Linked DNA regions of Pelodiscus sinensis. The protein of the gene in region 2 purifies or fractionates together with the protein of the main gene of each other region. This does not show direct contact. Links are inferred from orthologs where the notes say so. Each region holds a gene or a part of one and is shown on either strand. Other genes may lie near its edges.

The links. Proteins that work in one complex are often made in the same cells at the same time.
Region 1: the proteins of JADE1 (region 2) and ING4 purify together in Homo sapiens (affinity purification with mass spectrometry; 4 studies listed by BioGRID and IntAct, with this or other methods). This does not show direct contact. The link is inferred for Pelodiscus sinensis from reciprocal best matches to the Homo sapiens genes JADE1 and ING4.

What each region holds. Positions count from the first base shown.
Region 1 is NC_134711.1:138,606,046-138,613,589, reverse strand, and holds the start of ING4 (inhibitor of growth protein 4), read right to left. Parts: upstream 3,085-7,544; 5' UTR 3,070-3,084; coding exon 3,025-3,069; intron 1-3,024.
Region 2 is NC_134715.1:50,833,998-50,841,639, forward strand, and holds the start of JADE1 (protein Jade-1), read right to left. Parts: upstream 3,091-7,642; 5' UTR 2,891-3,090; coding exon 2,830-2,890; intron 1-2,829.

The sequences.
Region 1 (7,544 bases), on a different chromosome or scaffold from region 2:
CACATGTGCTGTCCCACCTCAAGGTTAACCAGTGCATGCAGGCAAACCACCTCAGTTACTTCGCTACCACAGTGTCCTTGAAAGAACTCCAAAGTAGAGAGGAGGAGGGTGGGTTGTGGAGAACCCACAAGAGGACACATCTCAAAAAAACATCATTACTACGTAAGGTGAGCAACTCTTCTTCTTCAAGTAGCCTCTCTATGGGGTGTTTCAGTGCAGGTGACGCTTGAGCTGTATCCTCAATGGTGGGCAGGGGCTTCTACTTGAGTCAGTTACGGGTGAAAATACTGTGGAACCAAAGATGGCATCAGAAGCCGATTCTCCAGTAATTGTATAATATTCTGCATATATATGGAAACACAACTATGTTGCCAGTTCAGCAGCAACTGAGAAGCAGACCAACCTCATGGAGTGAGTGTGAATATTGGATAGAGGTGTTATGTTGCAAACCTGACAGCATATTTTAATACCGTTTTAGAGCCATTTGGAGAGTCCCTAAGTTGATACTACTGAGACCTTGGATCTCTCTGCCATAGAAATAAAACGCTTGGGAGACTTTCTAAATGCCTCTGGTCTATCCAAGTAAAAGGGTTCAGGCTCTCATAACATCTAGTGTGTAGTAGTTCAGACTCCCTGTTATCACAGTGAGGCTAGAGTAGAAGGTAAGAAGGTTTGTGTGAAGGTTCAGTTGATTTCTGTGAAAACAACAGGTCACCTTGGGGGTGAACTGCAGATGTGATCCGAGTGTGACCGTGTCTGGAAAGAATATTGTATGAGGGAATGTGCCATCAGAGCTGCTATTTCCCCTATTCTCCTTCCAGGATGGCCACTCTCATTGACAGATTTGGGAGCAAACAAATAGTCACAGGCTCAAAGGGAAGTCTAGTCAGGCCTTTCAACACTAGACTTAGTTCCCATGTAGGAGTGGGATGGCAGGATTGGGAGAAAAGATTTACTATACTCCTATATAAAAAGATTTCCTATACTATACAACTGTTTTGTGGTTGGCATGAGAGCATTGAGAATCCCACAACTTGTTGATGAAAGTTGCTACTGCTGCTAGGTGAGCTCTGAGTGAACCCTGAATTTCTGAGAATTAGTACATAGTCTAGGTCCACTGGCAGAGCAGTGTATGTTGGGGAAATTTGTTGTGAAATACACCAAACCTGAGTATACAAGAATGACATGTAGTGGATCTTCTACTGTGTAGGAATACTTCTTGCGTCTCCCTTCAGCAGGAGCTTTCTATGATCCAGAATAAAAGAGCTTGATGGAAAAGTATCCTCAGCTTGGGATGTAGAGTGCATCCTTTGTTCTGCAACAGATGGAGTGGGCTGAAGAGAGATTGAGCATGCTAGGTGAGGATATCAAATCTGTTTTATACAGGTGGAAGCAATCAGTATGATGTATAATTACTTTTAATAGGACTCCTGAGAGCAGGGGAAACTGGGGTAAGGCATAGAAAAGGTCCCTGTCTCATGGGGAAAAAAGAGCATTTCCCAAGCATTCCCCTATTTCTGCTCCGCAGCAGTAGTGTTGGCATTTCTTGTTCAGGTAAGTGGCAAACATTCCTGCACTTGGTGCCCCCCACTGCCTAAATAGGTCATGAAGCACTGCTGGGTTTAACTTCTATTCATGATCATGGGGGAATTTGCAATTGCAACTGTCCATTGAGTTTTGTACTCCCAGAAGGTAGATGTGGGAACTGCACCAGTTTTATAACTTTAGTACTTCTGAGTAGAGAGAGCACCTGGTTCCTCCCTGCCAATTTATGCATGCTATCATAGAATCATAGAATAATAGGACTGGAAGGGACCTCAAGAGGTCATCGAGTCCAGCCCCCCGCTCTCAAGGCAGGACCAAGCTCCATCTACACCATCCCTGACAGATGTCTATCTAACCTGTTCTTAAATATCTCCAGAGAGGGAGATTCCACCACCTCCCTTGGCAGTTTATTCCAATATTTGACCACCCTTACAGTTAGGAATTTTTTCCTAATGTCCAATCTAAACCTCCCCTGCTGCACTTTAAGCCCATTACTCCTTGTCCTGTCCTATGTTGTCTGTTAAGGTTATTGTGTGTGTTCCTTGGTCAGTGGGATGATGGATATAGGTATTTCTGACTGCCCTGAATTCAAGGAGGTCCATATGGAAGAACATTTTTGGGGCTAACCATTTGCTCAGTGTTTTTAGTTTGGATGGAGTGCACAGCCAAACTACGAGGCATGATTTTGGTGGTAACATCAGAGAAGTCTGAGGAAAGGGAATCATCTTGCAAATGTTCATTGGATTTTTCCACCAGTCTAGAGTTTTTTATCTTAGGGTGTGTCTAGACTACATGCCTCCTTCGACGGAGGCATGTAGATTAGCCAGATCGGAAGAGGGAAATGAAGCCGCGATTAAAATAATCGCGGCTTCATTTAAATTTAAATGGCTGCCCCGATCTGCCGATCAGCTGTTTGTCGGCAGATCGGGGGAGTCTGGACGCGATGCCCCGACAAAGAAGCCTTTCTTCATCGACACAGGTAAGCCTCGTGAAACCATTTCCCTCTTCCGATCTGGCTAATCTACATGCCTCCGTCGAAGGAGGCATGTAGTCTAGACACACCCTTAGTGGGTAGTGGCAGTCTAATCTATGTCTAGTCAGTCTTTAGACTGAGCTGAATCACATCTGGGGGCACTGCAGTTGAAGTCTGGAATGAGGTATCACATCTGTGCCTGTTGCCATGTGCCCTAGACGGAAGCAGCATTTGGCTGATATTTGAGGGCTGTCTCTATAAGCATGGCCAAGGTGTGGAACCTGTGTTGCAGCATGGGATGCTCTGGCCTTTATCAAGCTGAGGTTGGCCATACAGAGGAAAAGATTGATTTTTGTATGTTGATCTGTAAACTCAGTTCCATGAACAGGTTTACTGCAGTGCTGAAAACAGTAGAGTTTAATCAAAGGAGAAAGCCCCTTGGAGAGTAGATTTCAGCCCAGTGCCCCATTTACCGGCAACGCGTGCATGCAAAATGCGGCTCTTACACATGCGCAGTGCGGGGCTGGCAAGCGGCTTTCACCGCGGTTCATTAAGCCCTGCACATTACAGTATCCTTCTTTCAGCTGAGAAAACAGGACCTGTTTTGAAAGTTGCTGACGGATGATTATTGCCTCAGTAGTGGTGGTCTTTACCTCTTCCAAAACACTGAGATTAGTGTGCCTGTCTTCCCATTTGATCTTCAAGATCTTGCAAAGGCAGCATTGGTACCTGGAATGAGGAATGTGGTGTATGCAGGGGGAAAATAATTAACTTCCAATATAAATTTACCAATGACACCCCAGGTAATAAAAGCATATACCTCAACCCAGATAGATGCTACCAAATTTAGAGGAAATAGAGGAAATGATAAAGATTAAGACATGGAAATACAACATACGTGCGAACACTAAATCAGAACAGACAACAAATCTTCTAATAAGTATAAAAAGTGCACTTGCTTGAAAATACAAGATGATTGAAAAAGCTGTAAAAGATATAGATTCTCAAATAAGTACCCAGTATGACACTTTGTGTCATGTAATGAGTGGTGTGGGAATCAATGGATAATTGTATTTTTGACTCCTGGAATAACAGTGTTGTTTTTCCTGTGCATCAAATATGTAAACAGTATAAGAAAAAGCAAACGTTACAGGGACCCTTTAAAAATTTAATTGCCAAATTATACAACTGAAGACTGCAAAATGTCATTTTAACTTAAAAAGGAGACACATGGCCCAAAAATAATAGGTATAATTGGTGTTGTTGTTGTAATATCAAAATCACTGTTAGTAACTGGATATTGAGAAGGGACTGTTGGGATGGTGCTGGGTATTATGAATTGCTGTGGTTGACTCAAGGCTGGCAAATCTCAATTTACTTGAGGATTCTGGGAGCAGGATTCTCTGCCTCAGACAGGATATATGGAAATTTACTGAGAGTACTGATAGTACACTTGAACGCTAGTACAACTATGTACTCTGGATGTTTAATCAAGGGCCGTGTGTGTATTTGTACTTCTCAGAGAACTATGGACATCATGGACTGTCATGTTCACCAAACATATCTCATAAAAACATGTAAATGGTGACCTTAGAGGAGACAGTTCAGGGTCAAATGACATTCTAAGACAGCACAACAGCTAGAGCTCAGGTGAATGATTGATGAGAAAGTAAATGTCAATCTATCCCTACTGTCCCTTCCAAACACATCAGAGAAACAAGTTATGAAATGCCAGTGTGGCATATTTCAGGAACATGTGACTCCTTTGAAAAAGGATACAAGTATGGGAAAATATCCTATGCTCATTCTCCATACAATTTAACATTTAAAAAGAGACTGGTGACATGATAAAACAAGAAGCCCCAGATCAACCAACACCCTTGTATCAGGTAAGTTTGAGCTAGAGGGCTTCAGGGTAGCTACCACTCTGTCCTAGGAAATACCTGACAGATGAAGTGTTTCAGAAGAAACAGAAGCCCACAGCTGCTTTGTTTGCCATTTAGGATACTAGCCCAGGAGCTAGTGAGGGCTTCTGCTTGGGGACCTAGGACTTATTAGCCTTTTGCATAGCCTTTTGTTGCCTGCCTGTGATTCTTTCAAATGAAAAACATCTTTGAAAGAATACAAAGCTTTGCTTTAAGGAAAACGGAATCCGTGTTTTTACTGACACTAATACTATAAGTTCTGCCCAGATGTGGGCCAATAAAGATCTCAGCTTTTAAGTTGGTTTCAAAAATCACTGACATCTTGTGTAGAGAAAGCCTGTTAGAGATAATGCTGGTGGATGATGCATAGAAAACTTAGAACTCCATCTAGAGGCTTCTGCTGATAATAGGGTTTATACTGCTTTTGGGACTTACACTGCTTACTTTTTGTTATAGGGCATCTCTGCTATAAGTCACCCTGGTATATGTTGGTTCCGCATTAGCTTTGTTGATGCTTGTGGGAACGGTTTCATTTTCAGTGCTCCCATTCCCCGCTCTTCCGTTGCACAAAAAACCCAAACCCAATCACGCAAACAGAAGTCAAGCATGGGGAAAAAATTCCCTGCTCTATGTCCTTTCACTATACATCCACTTTTTTTAAAAGTATCTTGGACATATAGTGGGGACACTCTGCACTAGGATGTACACACCAAGCAAACAAAGAGCTCCGCAAGAGTTGGTGTTCTGGGAGAACAGTTTAGTATCCTCAAATGGTAAAACTTCCCCTGTATTTTGAAGCTCTTTTTGAATACTGGAGGCCTGATACCAAGAAGAATGTTTCATAGAAATGGCTATAGCCAACTATGAAGATCAATGGGACTAGAACAGAGGCGGGCAATAATTTTTGATTGGGGGGGGCACTTCAAGAATTTGGTAAGTGGTCAAGGGCCACATTTTTCCATGACACTAATGGAGGCAGTACTTGGGTGCAGAAAGGAACTCGGGATAGGGGGTAGAAGATTCTGACATTGAGACGTGCAGGAGAGGTTGCAGGGTCTAGAAGGGGGTTGTGATCTGGACTGGGGAATGGAGTGAAGGAGGGGGAGCAGAGGGTCTAAGGAGTCAGATACAGGCTCTGGCCAGGAGGCACTTACCTAGGCAGCTCCTGGCAAGCATCCCAGTGGGACTCTCAGGCTCCTTGCCTTCTGTACCCCTGCATGCTGCTCGAAGTGGTTGGCTGTGGGGGTCATGTGCTCTCTGAATGCTGTAAGCACCGAGGGGGAGCAAAGGACCTGCGCACTGCTCCTGTCCCGAGCACAATCTTGCAGCTCCCATTGGTCAAAAACTGGCTAATGGGAGCTGCCTGGGCCATACTTGTGGTGCAGGCAATGTGCGAGGGCCCCTCCCCCCTTCCCTGGCTCATGTTACACAGAGAGCATATGGCTCCTGCAGCCAGCCACCCTGAGCGGCATATGGGGGCAGGGAGCCTACCTGAGGGGCCTGCCAAGCTACAAGATGGTGCCTGGCTGAAGCCAGCCCATGAGACAGATTTTTCCCACTCCTGGGCTAGAACCAAGGTCTGTGAAGTCTATTACAGCTGGTGTTCTCACACAAATACAGGGAGACCATGCAGAGCCATATACAATCAGCCCTGTAGAGATTAGGCACCATGAGACATATCCCATAAAAGGTCCAGAGTAAGAGCATCCTGCAGACTTCTGACTGGCTCATGCTCACTATTTAACCATGGAGAGTGTCCTAGGAAGTTGTCAGGAAGTCACACAGATTTCTGACCAGGTGCAACTCAAGGCTTCACCTTGTTTTCCGATCTCCAGTCTCTAACTCCTACAACTCTGACCCCGACTCCCAATTCCAGTGTCATGACCACCATTTCTGATCTCTGACCCAAGCTGACTCTTAACCGGACTCCTGCCTATTAATTCCAGCTCTAGTAATTACTGCAGTCCCTGCTTGCTGACCGCCATCTTGTGGCTGTCCTTGACTTGAGGACACCCACCCAGCTGTAACCATTAAGCCAGACCACCTATGCCCCTATGTCTTACTCTGTCTGATGCATAAATCGCTAGGGCTTTGACTACACTGCAGGGTTTTCACGCAAAAAGCCTTTTGTGGAAGAGGTCTTCAGCAAAAACTTCTTGTGCAAAAACATGTCCAGACATCAAAGCGCATCACAAAAGTGATGTGCTTTTGCTCGGGAGAGCATCCACACTGCATAGACACTCTTGCGCAAGAAAGTTCTGATGACCATTCACAGAATGGCCATCAGAGCACGTGTGCTTTTTCCCATAGGGGTCCACACCTGCCTTTTTGCAAAAGAGATGTAGCGCAAAAAGGAGTTATTCCTCGTGGAAGCAAAAGCCCTCTGTTCCGTTGATTTTCTTGTGCAAAAAATGCACTTCAGGTGTGGATACTCTGCTGGTTTCTGTGCAAAAATAGCTGGTTTTGCGCAAAAACTTTGTTGTGTAGACATAGCTTAGATGGAGAGATGTACAAGTCATGAGATGACATTACAAAACTACGGTCAAGAATTGCTCGGGCAGTTTGACCAAAATTTTTGAAATTGCTGATAAGTTAATAAAGTATATTTAGACAGTGACAAATAATTTGACACACTCATTTGAAGGCTCACAATCATATATGCCTTCTTCCCACAAAGATCCAGTCTCCTATTGGGTTGAAGTTGCCTCAAACATTCATCTGCTGCTGTGATCATTGAGTCTGTAATGGGACAGTTAAAGAAATACCTGAAGTCTTGTTGAGGAACACAAAGCCTGTCTGTTTGGCAATGGGTGGGCTACAGCAAGTTGTCTGCTAAAAGGTCTTCAGAGGTTCCAGTGAGGCTTTATTAATGGCAAGGGCAATCCAAATCAACAGTCTGCACAAACTGTCTTGCACAAGTTCTCTTTTTATCATCAAGGATGAGGCTAGTCTCCTAATGGAGTTCTTGAAAAACTTTAAAAGTCATCAGAAGGACACAATGCTGACTCTGAAGTGATAACCTCATTTAAGGAAGAAGAGATATTGGGGCAGAGGGAGTATCTAGAGGTTCTTCTCCAGTCTCCTTTTCTTCAATGGGTTCC
Region 2 (7,642 bases):
AGGCAGCACTGACTATATGGAAAAAGCACTGGGCAGAGGATGCTTTTTTTAAATGTGATCTAGAAATGAAAGCAGAAAAGCTAGAAGGGAAATTTACAGCTATTATTTTATTGGAGACATATATATGAAACATAGCTTCAAATCAGCAGTGGTGGAGAATCTGCTTCTTCAGGGAGAATCCTGTCACTAAAATGCACACTCTTGCAATTTGGAGAGAATATTCCACTGAGTATGAAAAGCTCTAGAAACAGAATCGTACCAAACATATTTTAGTGTAATGTTTATTAAGGTCTTATGTTTGCAAGCATGCTTATTTACAAAAGAAGAACTACTTGCAAAAGAGTTAATCTAAAACACAGTAAAATCTCTTTATTTGGAAATGGATGTGCCAAATAGGCTGTTTTAGCTTTTATTTAAAATAAAAGTTAAAATTAAAAATGAACAGAAAACAACTGTTGGTAGTTTGCTGTACAATTACCATAGCTTCTAATGTAACAACTCCCCAAAAGGGCAGATATCTATGCTTAAAACTTTCACGTGGCTACATAAACTAATCATTTATGTCAAGGCATGGCCCATTATTATTTGATGAGTGACAAGTCTGAAAATCTAGCATAGATTCCGTTTGCTGGCATTACAATCATTTTTATTAGAAGAATTATTACTAAGAAAGGGCCTGCAGATGAAGAATTAATCATAGGTATATTTATTCCCATAAAAAGGCAACACTAGTTCAGACCAAAGGTCCATCTGGCCCAGCGTACTGTCTATTGACAATGGCCAATACCAGGTGCTTCAGAGAGAATGAACAAAACCTGACAATTATCAACTTATCTAGCCTGTCATCCATGTCCAGCTTCTGGCAGTTGGAGATTCAGGAATATGTAGAGCATGGGACTGAATCCCTGGCCATTTAGGCTAATAAGCACTGATGGGCCTGTCCTCCATGAACATATGTAATTCCTTTTTTAACCCTGTTACAGCTTTGGCCTTTATAACATAGCCTGGAAACAAGTTCCACAGGTTGACAGTGCATTGTGTGAAGAATTATTTCCTTGTGTTTGTTTTAAACTTGTGGCCTTGTTTCATCTGGTGACCCCTGGTTTTTGTGTTGCATGGAAAGAGTGAGCAACACTCGTTTCTTGCTTTCTCCACACCATTCATGTCACCCCTCAGTCATCTCTTTTCTAAGATGAACAGTCCCCAGTCCATATCAAGATCTCTTTCTATGGAAGCTATTTCAATATCTCAATCATTTTTGTTGTCCTTCTCTATACCTTCACCATTTCTAACAAATATCTTTTAGAAGGGGCAACCAGAACTCCACACCATATTCAAGATATTAGTGTACCACAGATTCAGTTGGTGTCATTACAATATTTTCTGTAACATTTTTCCCCCGTTACTGGCTGCTACTGCACACTGACTGAATGTTTTCATAAAGCTATTTACAATGACTTCAAGATCTCTTTCTTTCAGTAGTAACAGCTAATTTAAATGCCATCATTTTGTGTATCTCACTGAGATGATTTTTTCCAATGTGCTTTACTTTCCATTTACTAACAGTGAATTTCAGCTGCAATTTCACAGAGATAAGGTGGGTGAGGTAATATCTTTTATTGAACCAACTTCTGATGATGAGAGATACAAGCTTTCAAAATACACAAAGTTGCATATAAATCTGCCATCTTATCACTCAGGTTAGTAAAATCCTTTGGTAACTCTTTGCAGTCAGCTTTGAAATGTTTGCATCATCTGCAAATTTTGTCACCTCACTTCTCATCTCCTTTTTTCCAATACATTAACGAATATGATGACAGAACAGGTTCAAATACATATCTTTGGAAGGCCCCACTATTTATCTCTCTCTCTACTGCGCTAACAATTAATATTCCTACCCCTTTGTTTCCTATTTTTAACCACGTTCTGATCCATGAGATGTCCTTCCCTCTCATCCTATGGACTACTTAGTTTGTTAGTATTTGTAAAAACCCAGGTACTCTATATAACTGTATGGCCTTTGTCCACATGCTTGTACATAGCTAATAATTGGGGAAAGTTCTAATAGATGACAAATCATTCCTTATAATTTAGGAAAGCCCTGTTGATTCCTAATCAATATACCCAGTTCACCTGTGTGTCTGATCAACTTTACTCTGATTTCAACTGATTTGCCTGGTACATAAGTTAGCCTTCCTGCTCTCTAATTACCAGGATCATCACAAAAAAATTGTTTTAATCAACAATATATTGGCTAGCCTCCAATCATCTGGTAGAGACTGATTTAACAGGTTACATCTTACAAATAATAGTTCTGCAATTTCATACCCAGTTCCTTCAGGACTGTTGGGTGAATACCATCTCCTCCCATAACTTATTGCTTGTTTAATTTATCAATTTGTTCCAAACCACCTATCCCATACCAACACCTTAATTCTCAAAGTGCTCTTGAAAACTAAATAATTCTAAAAAAAAAATCACCTACTATTGTTAATTTGCATATTGATCAAAACAAGTAGTCACTGCTGCAATAATGAACTGGAAAGCTAGAACTGCTTTCCTTACTGAAAGGCTTCCTCATTTGGGAGGCTTATTTTAAGGCCATGCTTAAAGTCTGTTTTTCAGGTAAATAAGCATTTTTGTTACTTGTATTCTTTAAATCTCGGACTCTCTATTTTTCAGATCCTCCTGGTTCAAATATATGTTCCCACTCCTAGCTCCCCAGCATGCTGAGACAGCAGTGCTAAGAGGTAGTCATGTCTCTTAAACCCGCCCAGTTTTTCCGATCCACACAACACAGGGCTCATTTATCGCCAGCCTTAGCAATACCGGTGCCGAGGGCTCGCAGCGCCGCCGCTGAAGCTGCTCGTACTGAGAGGTCCGGAGGCATCAGACACGAACAAAGACTGAGGAGAGAGGTGGAGAAGCCGGGAAGGAACAAGTATCACACTTAACTCCTGCCCCCAGCTGCGCTGCTGTCGCCGGACTAACCCCTTTTTGCGATTATGGCACCTTTTGCACAGCAGGCAAAAATCCCATTTTACGTACACCTCCCCGTCTGTCTCCATTTGAAACTGACCAGATCTCCCCCGCCTACCCTCCTCCTGTGCTCCTCCCCTCCCACCAGATGCACCAATCCGCTCAGCCTCAGCTGCAAATCAAACTTGATGCCCTCAGCTCAGCTCCCAAATCCATATCATTTCTACGGCCAAGCAACCCTCCCCATCTCCACCCCCCGCTCTCCATGTTGCAATGTCTGGGGAGGGTGAGATGGGGGACGGTTTAGACTAGGATTGAATAGCAGCAGCACTAAGACTTGAGGTTGCTTTCTGTCGGTCTCTCCTCCCACTCCCAGACAGTTCTGGAAACTGTGTATCACCTCTTGTCATAGGAAACCATCCAGCAGGCGGTGCAAACAAACACACATCTCCTACCACCACCCTCGTCAAAATAATAAAATCCGCGCCATAAACTGCTAATGAATGCTGGCGCTAATGAACACTGGCAAGAAAAAAATCAAGACCCGAAGCCTGACAATCTGCAAAATCTGAGCATGTAACGAGCAGAGTCCAGGGATACGAGTGCAGCAGGGCGGCTTTGTCTAATTTCAGCAACTGGAATAATCGCCTGCGCTGCACTCTTGCCTTCTCCTCTGGGGACGCCAAGGATAGCCCGTTAGAGCGAAATGATGCGGTTATTTGAAAAGACCATAACCTAGTCCCATTTTCCTTGTAAAGACCTTGGTAAAGGAAGAGGGGGGGATATTAAGAGCCAAAGTCTCCCTTACACCTGTGCAATCCCTCAGACATTTTGCACCACCCCCTGGTTTCATTCGTATATCATCATAAGTGCATGTCAGCATCATTTAGGAGATTTAAGAACTTCATCCGTAAACCCTATTGCCACTCATTGTATTGATTATCCATCACCGTAGTACTTGGGAAATTAATGTGCCACCCCAATGATTTAATCCGACAGTGCCCATAATAGGACCTACGTTACTCAATTGCCAGCTCCTCACAGCGCAAGTGGGCACTGCTGTCTCGGTGCGATTGCACGGGGTAGTTGTGGGCAGAATTTAGCCCTCGGTCTCTTAAGGAACAAAACATGGCTCGCAGAAGTTCCTCTCGAGCACCCGCACGTGTTTGCTTGGGCCGTGGAACCCCGCACGGATCTCAACTCGCCGGCCCCCAGCGGGAGGGGGCTGGGGAGCATCGCTTTGGATGGGGAGGTTCCTAAGCCTCCCGGCCGGTTCTTGTTGCCTCCGTGCACCTGCTTCCTTCTGCCCCTTCCCGTCCCCCCTCCCACACCCAGCCCGGAGGCGCCCGATGAAGCAAACCCCGCCTCCCTCCCGCGGGGGGGGGGGGGGGGACAATCTCCGCAGCCAGTGAGACCGTTCCGAAGGGATTCGAATCTGGGGTCAACATTCCACATTCCGGCCCTGGCCCGCATTCATCGCTCTCGCCAGCGGCACAGAAGCTGCTGCCACCCAGCAGAGCCCGAGCAGCCAAACAACCGCCCCCTCCTCCCTCAGACACACACAACACACCCCTTCCCTCCGTACACTCACACTCTCCCAACACGTGCACTTCAGGGCTGTTACAACTTGCTCTCCAGCAGGAGCTACTGTACACTCGGACTCAGTTGAAAATAAACGGCTCTACTATAGCAGTGTACTAAAAGCCTCCCCCTCCACACATGTCCATTAGTGCCTAAAATCACAATCGCGTCTAGTTCAGGACTAACCGGCCAACACTCTCCTACCCCAATAGGAAACTTCTGCCTATTTTCTCCGGTGAACGGTTTTTATACTTTGCGAGCATTTTTTTTTTAACTACAGCAAGTGAAATCCAAACACAATTTGCATGAATGTAATTGCAAAGCTGCCTGCACATAACACACACCCTTACTGCCCTTGAATTGATGCAACGGATATTTTGGACATGTGGGCGACACGGTGACAGATTCTGACTACGACCACCCCTCCCCCTTTCTATAGCGTCTATATCTAAAAGGACCTGCGCTTTGCAATTGCCATCTGTCTACCAACTTGATCCAACGCTTTTTACTTTTAAACTAGGCTGACCCAGCATTGATTAATTCAGATACCCGCGTCCCCACTCTCTTTTTTAAAAAACTACAGCAAAGTCAAATACATATACAAATTTTAAAAACCCTCAGTGCAGTATTGTGTTGATTTAGCTGGTGCACCTTGAAAGCTGCAAGAGCCTTATTTGCCATTGCAAAGTCTGCAGCAAAATGAAAACCAGCTAGCAGAACACTCCTTACATCACATCGTTTCTCAAAGCTGCAAAATAATCATCTATTTCCTCCTCCCACCGCTCCCTCCCTCCCCAGCAATGCACAAGTTGCTTGTGGGATAGTGAAGCTGCAACTCAACTGCCTCCCCTCGCTCCATATCAAGAAGCAAATCTTTTGGCGCCATATTAATGACGTACTATATTATTTCCACTAGGCAGCGACCTTCGGCATTAAATTGCTCTCTAGCTGCTTCTGGAGAACTCCAAAGCAAAGCAACAAAAACCCATCAAATATGGCTGTGCTGGCTGTTCCCCCGGCTCACTCTGCGGCGGCGGCGTGGAGGAGAGTCAGAATCTGGACACAGTTACCTGCTCCTGCTGCCGCGATGGTTGCCAGTGAGGTTGGAGTTTCTCTGCGCGAAGGGGTCTGTGCTGCCTCATGAGTTCAGACAAGCACTGGAGAGTGGGAGCAGATTGTGGCTCCCTTCACACACACACACACACACACACACACACACACACACACACATACAGACTGACTGACGTTTTTACTTGTTATGGAGGAAGGACTCTGTGAATCAAACTCATTTCTGGGTCACTGCTGCCACAGGGGGGAGCTACTTTAATCCCCTGCCAAAACTAGAAGGAGAGAGAGCGAACAGAAAGGAAAAAAACAGGGTGGGGAAGAGAAGAGGATAGACTACAACACTTAGGAACTGTCTGATTTAACTCTTCACAGCCCTCACTGGAGAAGTCGTGCTCCGTTTACAAATGCAGGGAGGTGCCTTCATTTCTGAATGGATTTTACTGAAGTATCTCTTTCTTGTGAGGAAGAATATTTTGCTTTGAGACATTTCCAGTCTAACTCACCCCCTCGCTTGAAGTCTTACTCATTCAATATTGTCACTCACTGCTTGAGAGCAGCCCTGTATTCCACTCTTACTGCCAACCACGAATATTCAAGTTCCTTGTTTTTCAAATAGTGTGCATATGTATCTTCAGCTAGTGTGCATGCACACTATTAGAAGATTTGTTTCTAGGGAATTATTTGTGCATGTTTGCACTAGGTATTGTTACTGTCTCAAAATATTTCAGAAATATTAATTTATTAATGCCTTATGCCATCCCTCTAAGGTAGGTATGGCCAGAGCTCTATTTTTTAAAGACGGGAATCCGAGTCTCAGAGCAGTTAAATAACTTGCCCACATTCATACATGAATAATGGTCAAGCCCAAGATTTAGAATGGATTTCTGATATTCAGTCTCCCATCTAACTCTTCTGCTTCCCAAACTTTTCCAAAGGAGATTGGGGGAAACAGGGCCAAAATGTTCTGAAGTTCTTTTTAAATCAAATTTAGTTCTTTTTAAATACAAGTTCAGAATAAGTGTATTATAAATAAAAGTATTTACCAAAGATTTCATTATGAAAAGGGGCATTTAAATGCAGACTAATTTTTAGTTTAAAATGCTTTTTCGTCAATCCATTAATTCATTTTCCATGAGAAAACAGTGGAGACTCTTACACAGAACAGAGTTCTATGTATAAACAGGAAAGAATAACGATATAGAGAACAGGTATTGTAATTTCAAATACAGAAAAAAAAGCTGTGTGTAAAATACAGGCAGCCCCCGGGTTACATGGATCCGACTTACATCGGATCCCTACTTACAAACGGGGTGAGGCAACCCCACACTAGCTGCTTCCCCCCAGCAGACCAGGGAGACGCGAAGCTAGCACCCCCCCCCACCACCACCACCACCAGACCAGGGAGTCGCGGAGTGGCTTTTCTCAGCAGATACCTCAGCTTGAGAATAAAGGACTGAGGGAAGTGAGGTGTGGGAGAATAAAACTGAGCTCTGGAGAAATGTTTGGCTAGAGTTTCCCCTACAATATGTACGAGTTCCGACTTACATACAAATTCAACTTAAGAACAAACCTACAGTCCCTATCTTGTACGTAACCCGGGGACTGCCTGTAATTCCAAAGACAGGAAATACATAATTACAAATTAATGCAGTTCCCCAGGGCAATAAATACTTTTACCTGGTGTGCCAGAAAGTCATACCTTAATTCAACAGAGGAATTGCTCTGCTATTCATCAACAAAATAATTTATCCAAACACACCATAAACATCTACTCACTCAGCCACCTGCAGAACTGGAGTCATAGGCTACGTCTACACTGCATGCTTATTTCAAAATAAGCTATTTCAGCAAGGAAAAATCCTCTGAAAAAGTTTATTTTGAAATAGCATGTCCACACTACAGATGCCCATCAAAATAGTGCTGTTTCAAAATAGAACGTCTATACTGATTGGAATAGTGATAGAAATGTAGCCGTGTTAGTCTGGGGTAGTTGAAGCAAAATGCAGGACAATGT